Linked DNA regions of Lonchura striata. The protein of the gene in region 1 binds, or shares a complex with, the protein of each later gene. Links are inferred from orthologs where the notes say so. Each region holds a gene or a part of one and is shown in the gene's direction. Other genes may lie near its edges. The genes, in order: BDP1 and BRF2.

The links.
Region 2: BDP1 (region 1) and BRF2 share a complex: the UniProt entries of both Homo sapiens proteins name them as parts of the TFIIIB complex. The link is inferred for Lonchura striata from reciprocal best matches to the Homo sapiens genes BDP1 and BRF2.

The regions. Positions count from the first base shown.
Region 1 is NC_134642.1:47,132,463-47,139,888, forward strand, and holds the start of BDP1 (transcription factor TFIIIB component B'' homolog), read left to right. Parts: upstream 1-4,242; 5' UTR 4,243-4,262; coding exon 4,263-4,432; intron 4,433-7,426. Other genes in the region: SERF1A (small EDRK-rich factor 1), read right to left, coding at 370-478, 3,639-3,645. UniProt on the Homo sapiens protein: General activator of RNA polymerase III transcription. Requires for transcription from all three types of polymerase III promoters. Requires for transcription of genes with internal promoter elements and with promoter elements upstream of the initiation site.
Region 2 is NC_134634.1:4,325,603-4,333,619, reverse strand, and holds the start of BRF2 (transcription factor IIIB 50 kDa subunit), read left to right. Parts: upstream 1-4,790; 5' UTR 4,791-4,802; coding exon 4,803-4,956; intron 4,957-5,516; coding exon 5,517-5,576; intron 5,577-5,785; coding exon 5,786-6,107; intron 6,108-7,115; coding exon 7,116-8,017. Other genes in the region: RAB11FIP1 (rab11 family-interacting protein 1), read left to right, coding at 275-380, 1,258-1,476. UniProt on the Homo sapiens protein: General activator of RNA polymerase III transcription. Factor exclusively required for RNA polymerase III transcription of genes with promoter elements upstream of the initiation sites.

The DNA.
Region 1 (7,426 bases):
TGCATGTATTCCATGAGGCAGACAATTTACTTGATTAGTGGACCTGATATAATTATTTTGATTTTAGAAGTAAAGGACATAATGGATCAAATATCTTCAAGAAAGCATTACACAATCTTTTCCTGTTTGCAGTAGGCAAAAAGCTGGTCAAAAAAATGAGAAAGCTTTACAGGATGTAATAAAAATACATCTGTTTAATAGCAGATACAGCAAAATTTAATCCACAGTTTATGCTCTGGCAAGTGATTAGCCAACAAATAAAAACAAAGCATTCAAATGCTGTGTCAGCTAAGACACTGGATTCTTTCTCACCCATGTCCCTCTCTCCTTTTTCAGCCTAAACATTTACTCAATTTTTCTAGACCTTACCTCTGTTTCCTCTGAGAAGCAGACAAGCTATCTTCTTTCCTTTTGCCTTTGTGGATCTCCTGAGTTTTCTTCAGGTTCTTTTGGCGAGCAAGTTCACGCTGGTTCCCACCTGCAAGATAATATAAACAAGTACTACCACTTGTTTTTTCCCACACAATGTACTTGTATAAAAGTCTGTTGTAAAGGCAGTGCAGTTTGGCATAATGTATAGAGCTGGTATGGCCATATCTTCTATCTTGGTGTCCTCTCCCAGTGTACAACAGGAGAAATTAAAGGCTCATAGTTGTTACTTTTTCAATTCTATGTCATGTTTAAGAAATTACCAAAATTCTAATATTCCTTACAGAAACAAAATGTAGTTTGTCATAAAAGGCTGAAGGAAAACCATCACACCAATAGGCTGGACAAAATCATCCAAAGACAAGTCATCCACTCTGAAACACATTCCAGCATTCAATATAGCTTACAAATTATTTTAGACTGAAAGAACAGCATTGAAATTGACTGCACTCAAATACTATTGAAGAGATGACCTCAAAAGGTTTTTTTAATTTGAAATACAGTACAGAACATAAGCCTGGGCCTTAGCAACTGGATGGTGGTGGCATTACTTCCAACAAAAGTGAGAAGAGTAACATTACTTCTTTATGCATATCAAGACACAAACCCACATGACTGTCAGCAGAGAAGACACTTCTTCAGGGAACAGACAGCTTTCCCCACAACTAACTATCAACAAGAGGAAAGCAAGCTCTTTGATCACACTAAGTTCCCGAGGGCACAACATCAAATTATCGACTCTCCATCTAAATACTTAGGGTCTTCAGGCAATGGCCACAGACTGCAAACTCTTCTGCATTAGCTGGCAATCTCTCCTCAGTATTCCCTTCCTTTGCTCTATTTTGCACCTGCCAGACCTGGTTCACTGGCTTGGTACTACTTCTTCTAGTTCTTTTGGAGTGACAGTGTTCCAGATATGCTACACATAATCATTTGTTCTGTTGAACTAACACAATCACATTCTTTTATACTCAAAAATTACAATTCCCTCTCTTCATAATTTTTTGTCTCTCTAAATTAGTTTTAAGACTGTCTGGGCCATCTTTCAGTCTCAAAGGCAGCAATCTCAGCCTTGAGGTGCCTGTCATTTCTGGTCTACCACTGCTTCTTAGGAATAGGCCACTTTTAAACAACAACAACCTGCTGGTATGATCCACCACTTTGTACCCACACCATTTCTGAGCAAAGGTACCTCAAGATGAACTCTGCAGAAGCAGGGGTTTGTGCATTCTCCACAAGAGCCTATGGACTGCCTGATAAGACATGCCAGAAGCTCAAGTAAAAACAGTCCTGTATGACTGCTGCTTCCCAAAAGATGCTCTTGTATTGGAAGATAACTTTTGTCTGTGACAGGACATTAAGTACTACCTCTTGGAAAAGGTAGAGAACTAAGACAACTTCTACTCACGATCCTCACTAGCATCCTGTCCCCAAAGTCCATCTAGAAGAAGGGCAGCTGTCTGTTCAGAGACTGAAGCAAACCAGCTGTCTCTGGCAGTACTAGTGTTGATTAGAACTTGATGACTCATGAGCAGATGACACATTCCAGGCCATAAATGGCTCCTGAGATTTGTGGTGCTCAGGAGGCAAGAACGTTATATGAAGGACTGGGGAGCAATGAAAGAACTTTTCTACAGTGCTTAAAAAAAAAAAAAAAACCCAAAAAAAAAAAAAAAAAAAAACAACACCACCAACAGCCCCAAAACAAAAAATCACCCCAAAACGAGAAGTATCTTCTTTTATCATGAAGAAAACAGAAACAAAATAAAAACAGTCTGCTAAAGCCAGAATTACCTTCAAAGACAAACACTTCCTTATGAGCAGTTAATTTCCACTCTTAAACTCCTATTTTTCCTTGTTTTCAAGCAAATAGTGAGCATGGGCTATGTAGAGTTTTTCCTTACACACGGTAAGGTTTTAAATTTAGGAACAGAACTCAGTTGTACCACTGAAAAGCAGGTAGCACAGCAAAGCAGAGAAGGTAGAAAAGCTGAGCAATATATAATGCATACAAACCACGGAATACCAAAAAACTGAAGAAAAACTTACTTCTACCATAAGTGCTTCCAAGTAAACATTGCCAAGGACTATTTGGCCCCATTACTTCATCTGGGATGCTGCATAAGTGTCCCTACCTTCAAGGGAACCACTGGCGTTTCCTACATTCTGTAATATCAAGCTAAATATTCTATGAAATTGTCCTAACAGAACACAATTCAGCTTCCTGAAATTCAAGCTTGAACTGCCACAAAAAGAGCAGTGCACTCTTCCTGCTTATACATTTCTATACATTCCTTCTCAACCATCCCATCCTGTCCTGCTTGTGCAAAACATAGACCTTACTTCAACCTGTCCTTGCTCTTCCAACTTCAGGAGAAGAAAAACGCCACGAAGAATCCTAAATGTGCTTCTTTATTACGTTCTATGCACAAACTTTGTGTTACAGGTCTTCAGCAGCAGTATGCCCTCATAACCGTGTATTTTCGAGATGAATTGAAAGCACAGCCTCAAAATTGGTTTTTTTCAAATGAATGTGAAAGCACAACCAAAATTAAACACGAGGATTTCCTGTACCGCCAGACATAACAGGCAGAAGGCACAGGAGCACTCCCCGCAGCCAGGGGAGCCAGAGCATCCTGGGTCACCTCTCCGCCATTTCAGAGCGGGTGTGCGAACACTGCTGTTGGTCAGCATTCAGCACGGTGGCGATTCACCGAGCGCTCTTGCCCTTTCAACAACAGCCTCAACCACCACAGGTTAAAGCAGCATAGTATTCAATATTCAGCACAGATAGTAAAGCCCTCTATTCTCAGACTGGGCGGCAGCCGGAAATGAAATGGAGTGTGGCTGTTGTTTCAGCCCAACATTACCTTAATTTCTCCCCCCGGTCCCGCCTCCACTGACACGCCAGAAGGCGGAGGAGGATGTTTTCCCCTCCAGCTTCGGAAGGCAGCAGGACATGGGAAAAAAACTCCTCCTCACGCACTCGCTACAGGCGACATTTCGCTGGTGGGACGCCAAGTCCGCAAAGAGCCGGACGCGACATTGGCCTCACACAGCGGCTGACTTCCATACCGCGGCCCAGGCACGACCCCCAGCCGGACCGCCCTCGGCGTCGCGCCCCACAGCTGGAACCGACCAGGAGGGCGGCTCAAGTCCTGTCGCCCACTTCGCCACCCGACAGTCCTAAACAGCTCCCCAGTACTCACGGGTCATAGCGAGACGCTCAGGCCGCGCAGCGCCGCTACGCCTCCGACCGCTAGCACCGGCCAAACTCGACCCTCCTCCGCCCCTACCACCGCAGCGGTCTGAGGCGGCGCCGCCGCCGCCGCACCTTATGGCGCCTCGCTGGCCGTGATGTCACGGCGCCGCGCGGGCCCGGCCCAATCAGCGGGACGCGCACCGCTGACCCCGCCCCGCGGGCAGGAGCCCTGCGAGGCTCGTGCTGCGCGTCCTGCCGGGCCCGAGTGTGAGGGGGAAGGGGGGGGGGGGGCTGTGGTGTGGCAGCCTGGGCTGGGGGCAGAGCGGGCGCCTGGACAGCTGCTGGGAGCCGGCTGAACTGGGGCCACGCGGCTGAGCAGTTGCTGGGGCCTTACAGGCGGCTACGGCGCCGTTACTGCTTCCCCGTAGAGGCTCCGCCTCCCGCCCCTCATCTCGCGATGGGTGCGGGCTGATGACGGTGCGGGGCGCGCCGCCGGGGCGGCACGCCGTGAGCCGGCCGGGCTCGCGGCACCCGCGGGCCCTCGCCGCCGCGCGCTGCTGACGCCGCCGAGCTCGCGGGCGGGCGCGTCTCCCGCGAGCGCCCGGCGCGCCCGTCTCCCGGAGCCGCCGCCATGTTCCGGCGGGCCCGTCTCACCGTGCGGCCCAACGTGCGCCCCCCGGGCAGAGCCGCCGCCGCTGGCGCGGTGGACCCCGAGCCGGCGGAACCCCCAGGCTCGGACACCCCGGCGGCGGACGGAGCAGGGACCGCGGCGGAATCGACGGGCGCGCGGCGGGAAGAGAGGTGAGTCCCGCCGAGCTCGCCCTAGCAGGGCAGTGTGTGGGGCCGCCGGCGGCACTGGGCCGCGGATTCCCGGGAGCGGGACGGGCCTGTGCAGGGCCGGACCCGGCGCATCCCCGGAGCTGGCGGTGGCTCTGCGTAGCGCCGGTTGTCGTGGCCCGTCGCCGCCTGGTTTCAGTGCTATGACAGGGCGCTGGCTCGGCCTGAAGACCTCGTGCAAGACGCGTACGGTCGGTGCCCGATGACGGCGTGTCCAGGGTTGTCAGACAATGTTGTTTGGCGCCTTCGTAGACTAAGAAACCGCCGTTTCTTCACTGCAGTTGTGCAGCAGGTGCTTGGAATAACATTGCATTGGGCTGCCCAGAGAGGTGGTGCAGTCACCATCCTTAGAGGTGTTTAAGGAAAGACTGGACATGGCATGTAGTGCTGTGGTCTGGTTGACAAGGTGGTGTTGAGTCATAGGTTGGACTCTACGATCTCGAGGTGTTTTCCAGCAAAATGGCTCCTGTGATTCTGTAAGTGAAGACTGCAAAGGAGGAACCCAGTGTGGTCCGATACTCCTTACTTCTAGCTCCACAGCAGCCAGGAGCCATGATTTGCTGTGTGCAGCAAAAATTCTTTGTGCTCTGTAACCAGATGAGTTTGATTTTGCATTCCAACAGCATTTTCTCTTTTGTGTTCATTTCTTTATGAATTGGCAAGGGAGGACTTTCCTTTTGGTTTTTTTTGAGTTAGTTTTTTTGCGGTTTTTTTGTGGGTTTTTTTTTTTTTTTTTTTGCTATTTTTAGAGGTTTTTAAGGGCTTTTTAATGTGATGGAAGCACATGGTAAAGTTGGCCTTAGGACTGGCTCTCCCTGAGGACCTCTCTGCTGTAGGTTAAGCCTAGCTGGTTACTAAACCCCGCACAGTTTATTGCTTGCTTCCCCACACCCCTGCCCCTCCCAGCCTGGTGGGATGGGCAGAAAATCAAAACGGCAAAAGTTCAAGAAAAGGTGTGTTATGATAAAGACAGTTCAATTACCTGGGCATGTAAGCAAAGCAGAACTGGGGATTCAGTCACCACTACCCACAGGTATTTAATTGTCTCCAGGAAAGAAGGGATCCATCACTCATAACAGGTACTTGGGAAGACAAATGCCATAACTCCAAATGTCCTTTCTTTCTTCTTCTCCTAGCTTTTACTGAGGAGCATGATGCCATATGCTGTGGGATAGCCCTCAGTCTTCTGAGATCAGCTGTCCTGGCTGTGCCCCCTCCCAATTTCTTTCTGATTCCCAGAATGGACAGCCATGGTGCATTGTGAGAAATAACCCTGGTGCTGCATGATCATTGCTCAGCATTAGCTGAAAGCATGGGTGTGCTGTCAGCACTGTTGTGTCACAAATCTGAAACAGCAACATCAGAGCTACTGTGAAGGAAGTTAATTCTGTCCCCACCAAAGGTAGTACAGATCAGTGTTTCAGGACATGTCCTTAATCTGATAATTGTTCTTCAGAACAACATTCACACTTCTTTTTTACAGTTGGGTTTGAGTCTTTCATAAATCCTTTTATTCTTTTAGTTGAAGGTTGCCCATTATGACAGTATGATGAAACAGTGTTAATGTTGTCTGTTTCTGTGGTTGGAAATTCAGGTGTCAGACTAGTTGGCATGGCATGTCTTTAGGAAACCCATACCATGTTTTATTCAATTGGTATTTTACATCTTTACTTGTTTTGCATTTTGTTTCAAGAGTGCCATTCTTTCAAGTTTTATTTATAAAATGTTTATGTTACAGGGATCATCTTACTGGATGTTTTGTTATCTGATTTTTTTAAAATGAAGAAATTTTTATGATTTTTCACTTAGATGCTACTGTTGTTGTTTCAGCAGATTTGTAAAAGACTTTTGTGTTCGTAATTTAACAGGTGCATCAGTGTAATATAATTTTAAGTTTCAAAACTAGGTATTGGTGTGACTCTGAAAGGCACTTTGATCTAGTTTCATGGTCTAAAAATAGGTCTTTGCCATATAGCCTTCTGACAGGGTAGCCCACCTAGCTGACCTGGGGAAACCAGTTCCTGTAATCCTTTTGGATTTCAGTAGAACTTTCCATATTGGCTCTCACACTATCCTTCCTTCTTGACAAAACATCCAGCACACACCTGGATGAACGCATCATGTGATGTGTGAGCAACAGGTTCATGGGTTGGGTTACAATGAATGGGTGACATCAGACTGGTGACCTGTCACTGGTGGGGTTCCACAGGGCTCCATCCTCTGCTCTTCAACAGCTTCATAAATGACTGGACACTGGTTTCGAAGGCATATTAAGTAAGTTTGGTACATGATACAAAATGGCCCTGCAGGGAGACCTCAACAAATTAAGAGGGCTGGGCAAACACTGGCCATATGAAGTTCAAAAAGGGAAAGTGCCAGATTCTATACCTGGGATGGGGCAACCCTGAATGTGTGGACAGACTGGGGAACAAATGACTGGAGGAAAATGACTTGAGGGTCCCGGTCAGTGGCAAGCTCAACATGAGTCAGCAGTGCCCTGGCAGCCAGAAGGGCGACCTGTGTCCTGGGGTGCATCAGGCAAAGCATCACAGCCAGGCAAGATTGTCCTCCTCTGCTCTGCCGTGGGGCTGCCTCACAGGCAGTGAGTGCTGGGGGCAGTTTTGGGTATAAGAAAAACATTGAGCTGTTAGAGAGCATCCAAAGAGGGGCAGCAAAGATGGTGAAGGGCCTTGAGGTGAAGTCAGATGAGGAGTGGCTGAGGTCATTTGGTCTGTTCAGCCTGGAGGAGACTTAGGGGAGACCACTTTGTAATCTACAACTTCTTCATGAGGGGAAGTGGAGGGGCAGACACTGATCTCTTCACTCACTGCTGCTCAAGTCTGTGTCTGTAGCATCAGTCACTTTACATTGTTTTATTTTCTATATACTGAATAAGTTTTGTTAATTATCAGGGAAGTGGAAAATTTTGTAAGAGAATTCTAATTTTTTAATATACTT
Region 2 (8,017 bases), on another chromosome or scaffold:
GACACACAGAGGATGTATTTTCCTTCCTGCTGCTGCTTTATCTCCAATGCCTTAAGTCAATAAAGATAGTAGAGAACTGGAAAATACTTACAAAACCCCTGTGGCTTAGAAATACCTTGTCTTCTTTAAACTGAATTTCTTTTCTGTCAGGACATAGAGCAGGGAGGGAATTGTCCCCAATTTCTTGCTGTATTTGTTCTCAATCTAAAGATCTATGTCATGCTGCTGTTACCTCTTCTGCCTGAACAGCAGGACCCTTTTTTTCCTGTTGCAGACTCCATCCTGTGAAGCCAATGAATGCCATGGCTAACAAGCCTCAGAGCAAGAACTTGAATGTCATCAGCACCATGAATGAAAAGCTGCTGGAAATGAGTGTGAAGGTATGGAGGGAAGTGGCACTTTGACTGCCCAAGCTTTGATTTAATTGAAGAGTTTGTGTATTCCAGATAGCTGGGCCAGGAACATCCTTTTGGTCAGCCCTCAAGAGTGGGATCGTTCCTTAAATGCTTATTTTCTTGCAGACTGACCTATAAGAGAGCCGGGCTCGTGTTTTTGGGGGCGCTTCTCAGGCACAGCCACTTCCTTGGAGCACAGTCGTGCAGCTGGGTCAGCATTGGGACTGAGAGGAGCTCTCAGCATAATCCTGGTCTCAAGAGAGACCTCCAGGCTTGAGGCACAGCTTCCCTGATCCGAAAGGCTGGGAGCATCCCCGGGTCAGCAGGGAAAATCACGGCTCCCCTTATGGTCTGTCAGGGTTTTTTTGGGAAATAGGGAAGTTAGAACTGAAATAACAGCAGTGCCTCCTTCTGGTGAGAGGGGAGGGGATGGGAGTTCAGTGATTCAAACTGCCACGCTGCTGTTTCAAGGGGGTTGAAAACTTGCAGTGGGTGTTGTGGTGTTCTGATTCCACCTAAATTGTGTGCGATGCCCCACGGGGGCCTGTTGTGCTCACTCTCCCTGCCTGGGCAGTGTTCTGGGAGCTGGAGGAATCAGCAGAAGCTGCCCAGTACCTCTCATGCTGTGTGAGGTTTAAAACCAGATTTTCCAAAGGAATGGGAAGAAACAGCAAAGGCCTGGGTGGGCATTTTGTGCTGTTTACCATGAATTTGGCTTTCCCAGAGTGCACTGAAGCAGCTGTTTTAAGCTTTACCAGGTTTGTTTGGCAGCAGCTGTCACCGTGCTGGTCTGTGTGTTGTGTGTCTGGTTTGGAATGTCCTGTGCCTGCTCTGACCCTGCCTTCCCTCCCTCCCTCCCAAGAAATACGATCCCTCAGACCCTGCCTATGCCTATGCTCAGCTGACACACGATGAGCTGATCCAGCTGGTGCTGAAACAGAAGGATACCATTACCAGGAAGGACCTCCAGGTGCGGGAGCTCGAGGACTACATCGACAACCTGCTTGTCAGAGTCATGGAAGAAACCCCAAACATCCTCCGTGTTTCCATGTCTGGCAACAGAAAAGCTGGGAAGATGTGAAGGGTCTGGGGGCGTCGGTGGGCAAGGACTGAATTCCCCCAGAGGAGGGTGAGGAGCTGGTGGTGCTGGGTGTGCTGCTCACAGAAAATGACCTTTTCCTGTTTCTGCCTTGAGCAACCCTTGATTGATTAATAGTTCCATCAGGTGTTGTCATGCAGTCACCTTACCATATTTATTTTTTTTTTCCTTCCCATTATTTGGGGAGGTCAGGCATTAATCCAAAGACTGGTTGTGATGGGAAGGAGGAGGGTTTTTGTTGTGTTTTGCTTCCCAGCAAGGCGCTGATGATCCTTTAGGATGATTTTTTTAAATGGTTTTGTTTTGTAGCAGCTTTTAGAGATCAGTTACTTTTTTTTCCACATCTGAAGTTGTAGTGCAATATGAATCCTTGTACAGTAGAGCTTGAGGATTTGATTGTTTTTAAAATAATAATTAACTACACTGGATAAGTCCAAAGATGGCCCAGCTTCGGACCTGGGCTGTAATTTGAAAGGAATGAAAGTTGACCATAAGCTGACCAAATCTCAGTTCATCTCATCGAGTGGACATTCCCAAGAGTCCTTCAAGGGAAAGTTGACAGGTTTTTTGGAGTAGGAGACATTGAGGTCCACGGTACGTTTCTACCACAGGAATGGCACCAATGGATTTAGGCCTGAGGTACATTTTAAATCAGAAGTTTTGCTCTTAGTGTCTTAAATTTCTGCTCTGGAGGCTGTTCAGAGCGGGCAGAGACTGCCCTGTGCTCTGCTCTCCCACTTTGTGCCCCGTGGGAGCTCTGTGACCATTTCCCTTTCACACTGCACGGAGGGAACAGAAATTCCTTGGGGTTTGGAGCTGGGGCTCACCTTGAGGGCCCTCCCAAGGTGAGGAGCCTTGCAGTGCTCCTGCTGTCAGTGCAGGCAGGGCTGGGGCTCCCCCCTGCTCTGGCTCCTTGCTGCTCCCTGGGGAGGAGAGTCTTGAGTGGCTGAGGGGGCTGGGGGTGCTGCACAGCCCAGAGCTCTGGGGGTCCTGGTGGGCTCAGGGGAGTTCTCCCCATCCCCTCAGTCAGGCTGGGGGTGCTGCACAGCCCAGAGCTCTGGGGGTCCTGGTGGGCTCAGGGGAGTTCTCCCCATCCCCTCAGTCAGGCTGGGGGAGCAGCCAGCACAGCTTCCCCTGCTGCAGACTGAACAGAGCTTTGTTTGCTGAGCTCTTGGCAGAGACCAAAACAGCAGATGCCTTTTGGGACCCCTGGGATTTGCCAGGGCAGGAAGAGTCCATGAAAGGCTTAGAGGGAAACTGGAAAACCAACAGAGCCCTGCAAAGGACCAAAGCTTCATGAGGAGCAAAGCTTCAAGCTTTCCAGCCCGAATTCTATGGAAATAAACACTCCTGCCTTTGGAAGTTGTTGGGTTATTGGGTCACTCCTGGCTCAGGGGTGAGTTTCTAACTCCATTTCTCTACAGGAAAGCACTTTATTGAGGGACTGGAGCAGCTGGAAGGACTCTCACCCTGTGAGCAGTCTGCTTACAATGTCACACACCACTGCAGATCTCAAATGCTGTATTATGTAGTGAGGAGCAGTTTGATAGATTTGCACAGAGATGTAAACATTTATTAGAAAAATCAAAGAAATTCTGTAATGGCATTTTTATCCTGGTTATCCCTGCTACCAAAGTCTGGAGCTTTACTGGCAGAGCTGTCCCTCATGGGCAGCCTGACCTCAAACAAGCCTTAGGAGCTGAGTCTTGCAAGACTTCAGGTACTTTTGTCTCATTTTAGTGTTATTTGAACAGTGAGGGCGTTCTCTGCTTTCTGCTGTGCCCTCTGCTCTGAGTGAAGGCAGCCTTGGTGGTGGTTTCATTCTGAGTGCTGTGCCTGGCCTTGCTGGAGCTGCTGCTGCCTCCTGTGCCTTCTCGAGCGAGGAAGATGAAGGATTGATTTGTTTCCTCCTCGTGCCTCTGTGGATCTCTGGACAGAGGATCCTGTACCTCACTGATAAACTTGTATTTTAGATTTTTTCTCCGCTGGGAAGAGTGACCTGCACAGAACCAAAGCAATAAATAATATTATTGTTCATAAAAGAAATAATGTTATGCTCTTAGCAGAGACGAAGCCTTAATGCTTGGGACAGCGGCAGCCCCAGCCATGGGTGTCATGGCAGCCCCAGCCGTGGGTGTCACTCCCATGGGTGCCGTGGCAGCCCCAGCCGTGGGTGCCAGCTCCCGTGGGTGCCGTGGCAGCCCCAGCCATGGGTGTCACTCCCATGGGTGCCGTGGCAGCCCCAGCCGTGGGTGCCAGCTCCCGTGGGTGCCGTGGCAGCCCCAGCCATGGGTGCCAGCTCCCCAGGGCTCCTCTGTCCCAGGGGCTGCAGCTGTGGCACCTCTCCCTGAGCAGACCCATGGCTGGGGCACGGGGGGCTCACAGTTCTCCACTTGCCCAGCCCCAAAAACGTCGCCCAGCCCTCCAGCCTCGTTTATATTGTCAACACTCGTTAAAGCCTTTGGTGTGAGGGGACTGGCATTTTACATCCTCAAGGGCCTTAAGAACCAAATGTATTGTTTATTATTGAAGGATCCAATGCATGTTCCCTGTTTGTACTCCCTGCTTTTAGCCCAGCTGCTGTTTTTAGACACCTTTTGGTTTTACGGAACACTACAATAAAGACACCTCAAACGCAGTGCTCTGGCCACCGTGTCTTTGCTCTGGAGTTTAGAAGGGTTTTATCCCCTCCTCGTGCCTCTGCTCATCCTGCTCCCGGCGTTCCGGCCTGCTGTCATCCCTGCGCCATCCGGTGCTGCCTGCAAACCCCTCGCGGGGTGGGGGAGCCTGACGGACGGGCGGGTCCGCAGCTGCAGCGCCGGGAGTTTCTGCCCTCACGGCAGCGCCGGCCTCGCGCTGCGCCGCGGACGGGAGGGGGCCCTGGGGGCCCTGGGGCTCCGCGCCGCGGTGCTTCCCGTTCCCCGCCGGGAGGACGCGGCCTCCCCGGTGCCATGGGAGCCCTGGGGCTCCGCGCCGCGCTGCTTCCCGTTCCCCGCCGGGAGGACGCGGCCCCCCCGGTGCCATGGGGGCCCTGGGGCTCCGCGCCGCGCTGCTTCCCGTTCCCCGCCGGGAGGACGCGGCCCCCCCGCTGCCGCTCCCCGCGCTGCCCGGGGCCGCCGTCCCGGCCGGAACGCAGCGCGCGCCGGCGGCGCCTCGGCCGGGCGGGCGCCGGGACGGACCGCGGGCGGCGCCGCTATTGGTGGGCTCGGGGCGGGCCGCGCCGCTATTGGTGGGCTCGGGGCGGGCCGCGCCGCTATTGGCTGTTGGCGGTGCGCCCGCCCCAGCGCTCCCCCAGCGCGGCGGCGGCGATGGCGGCGCGGGGCCGGTGCCCCGAGTGCGGGTCGGCGTCGCTGGTGGAGGACGCGCACTACGCGCAGCAGCAGCTGGTCTGCGCCTCCTGCGGCTGCGTCCTGTCCGAGGGGCTCCTCACCACCACCTACACCGACGAGGAGCATCTGCGGGGTGCGGCACCGGACCCGGGAGCGTCCGCGCTCGGGGTGGGGGTGCAGGACCGACGGTCCGCGGCTCGTTTGGGCCTTTCCGAGCCGGTGCGAGAAGCGAAGCGCTCCCCGAGCTGTGTTCGGAGGGGCCGTGCCGGGCACTCGCGGCTCAGGCCGGCCGCTCCCGCTCCCTCCATCCCCCAGCACCAGCGGGGTTTTCCAGCCCGGGGCACACCCGCAGCACTTCCCGGACAGGGTCTGGCTTGGAGCCGGTGATGAGCTTTGAATTTAAACTGGAGGATCTCTTATTGTCAAAAGAGATTATTAGAATCCCATTGAAATCTCTTAGAAGAGCTTTAAAGGCAGCGGGGCAGCCCCGAGGCCGTTGCCTGGCTCTGTCTGGAGGGAATTCCCAGCTCAGAGGAGATCCAAGAGCTCGCTTTTACCTGTGCTGCTCTAACTCAGCGCCCTCAGACAGTTCTGGTCGTTGCAGTCCGGTTCTGTGGGCATCTGCTGGCCCCAGATCCATGTCTCTGTGCCTGGATTCCCCTCAGGACTGACTGATCCACCCCTGTTTTCCAGAGGTCGCCTATTCCCAGAGCACTGGCCAGAAGGAGCAGCTGAGCCGCTGCCTGCAGCGAGGTGAGAGCAGCTCCTGACCCCCCCTCCTCTCTGCCTGCCGCTCCAGTTGTTTCACCTGGTTCTAGTGGTGAAAAAGTGCCCCAAACCCCTGGAGCTGAGCCGGGGGAGGGCACTTGGTGCTGCCTGCCCTGAGGGCCTGGGAGGGGCTTTAGTTCGGGCTGGGTGAGTGTTGTCTGCTGGACTTCCTCACTCCGAGTGTGACCCCGCAGGGATCCGGAGGGTCCAGGACCTCTGCAAGGTGCTGCAGCTGCCGGCTGTATTCGAGGAAATGGCCGTGTCCTACTTCCAGAGGGCTCTGCAGCTCCCCGCCTTCCACCTGGTCAGCCTGGAGAAGAAGGAGCTGCTGGGAGGCTGCTGCGTGTTCGTGGCGTGCCGCCAGCACCGCTGGCCCCTGACCATGGGCACCGTGTGCTCCCTGCTCTACGCCCGGCAGGAGCTGTTTGCCAGCGTCTTCCTGAGCCTGCAGCGGGAGCTGGGGCTCTCGGTGCCCGCCCTGAGCCTGGCAGACCTGGTGACAACGCACCTGAACAGGTGAGAGGGGCTTTGGGGCCCTTGTTTAGCCTGGCTGGATGGAGGGGCTGGGGTGTGGCCGTGGGCAGGGCTGAGCTGTGGCACAGGTGTGTGCTCAGGCTGGGCTGGCTTTTGTCCCTCCATGTCACACCTGGGCTGTGATTCTCAGTGTGGAGAGGGCAGAGGGGGCTCGGGGGCACCATGGATCATGGGATCCAGGATCTCTGGGGCTGGAAAGAATCTCTGAAGCTGTTGAGTCCAGCCCGTGCCCGGTGCCCACCTTGTCACCCAGCCCAGAGCACGGAGTGCCACCTCCAGGGATGGGGACTCCACCCCTTCCCCCAGAGAACCCTTCCCATAAAAAACTGCTCCTGGTGTCCAGGAGTGGCAGCCAGGGCAGGAGCAGGGTGTGTTTGTCCCCGAGGCTCCCCCTTATCGCTGGCTGGGGGCTGTGCACAAATCACCAACGGGACGGGACTGCTGTGGAACACATCTCGAGCTGTTTATTTCCCAGCATCAATCTCATTACATGATTATGGCAATGGGAAGGTGCCAGCAGCTCACATCCTAGGCAGCAGACTAAGAACTTAATATTACAATTTGCTTTAAAAGCTTTTTGACCAATCACACAAAACAAAAACATAATGACAGTAGTTTTACCTAACCACCATAAACACACGTACCTTTGGTTAAAATAATGCTTCCTGGTTTCAAATACAATACTTACTTATAAGCCTTAAGATACAATGCACAGAGCTCCATTATTAAGCTTAAAACTTCTTAATATCTCACCAGAGATACTTTTCTACAACTTAGAGTTATTCTACCCAAGTGTTAATACACAGACCATTGCTCTATTTATCCTTTCTTTCTACTTCTTGTATAATTGTTCTGCTGACAAATCTTATAGCTACTGCTTAGCTCTAATCACCATCCTGCTGTCTCTAAAGCCTGCCTTTTACAACACTCCCAAACCCCTCTGATTTAAAAAATCCCACACCCCTGAGCACAGCCCCTTCGCCCCCGCAGCTTCCGGCTGGTGCAGCCCACGGCCAGCGTCCCCGCGCCCTTCCTGGAGGACAAGGAGCAGCTGCTGGCCCGCACCTTGGCCATCGTGGAGCTGGCCAGCGAGACGTGGCTGGTGACCGGCCGGCACCCCGTGCCCCTGGTGACGGCCGCGGCCTTCCTGGCCTGGCAGTCGCTGCGGCCCGGCCCGCGCCTGCGCTGCCCCTTGGCGCGGTTCTGCCGCCTGGCAGGGGTGGACCTGCCCCCCCCGGCCCACCTCCGGCTGGCCGAGCTGCTGGACATCCTGCTGGGAATGGCCTCCCAGCTCTCCTGGCTGCGTGCCTTCTGCTTGGACAAGAGAACGGTGGTGAAGCACATCGGGGACCTGCTGCAGCACCGGCTCTTCCTGCTGAAACGCGCCTTCAGCCAGCAGGACGGGCAGGGCCAGCAGGACACGGCCCCGGGCCAGGGCTCTGGGAGCCAGGGCTCCCTGGATAAAGACTCTCTGAGCCAGGACTCCCCAGGCCAGGGCTGCCCAGGCCAAGACTCTGGGAGCCAGAGGTGCTCGGGCAAGGACTCTGTGAGCCCAGGCTCCCCAGATAAGGACTCCCTGAATAAGGACTCCCCAGGGCAGGACTCTGTGAGCCAGGACTCCCTGGATAAGGACTCTGTGAGCCAGGGCTGCCCAGGGCAGGACTCTGTGAGCCAGGGCTCCCTGGATAAGGACTCTGTGAATAAGGACTCCCCAGGCCAGGGCTGCCCAGGGCAGGGCCCCCCCAGCTCTCCTGCGGTGGCACAGCAGCAGGGCTGTTCCTCAGCAGGGAAGCAGCAGCGTGGGGGCAGCCTGAGGCCCCTGCTCCCTCCCTGCCTCCTGCGGCCCAGGAAGAGGCCGCGGCCGGCAGCTGCGAGCGCTCCGGCCGTGGCCC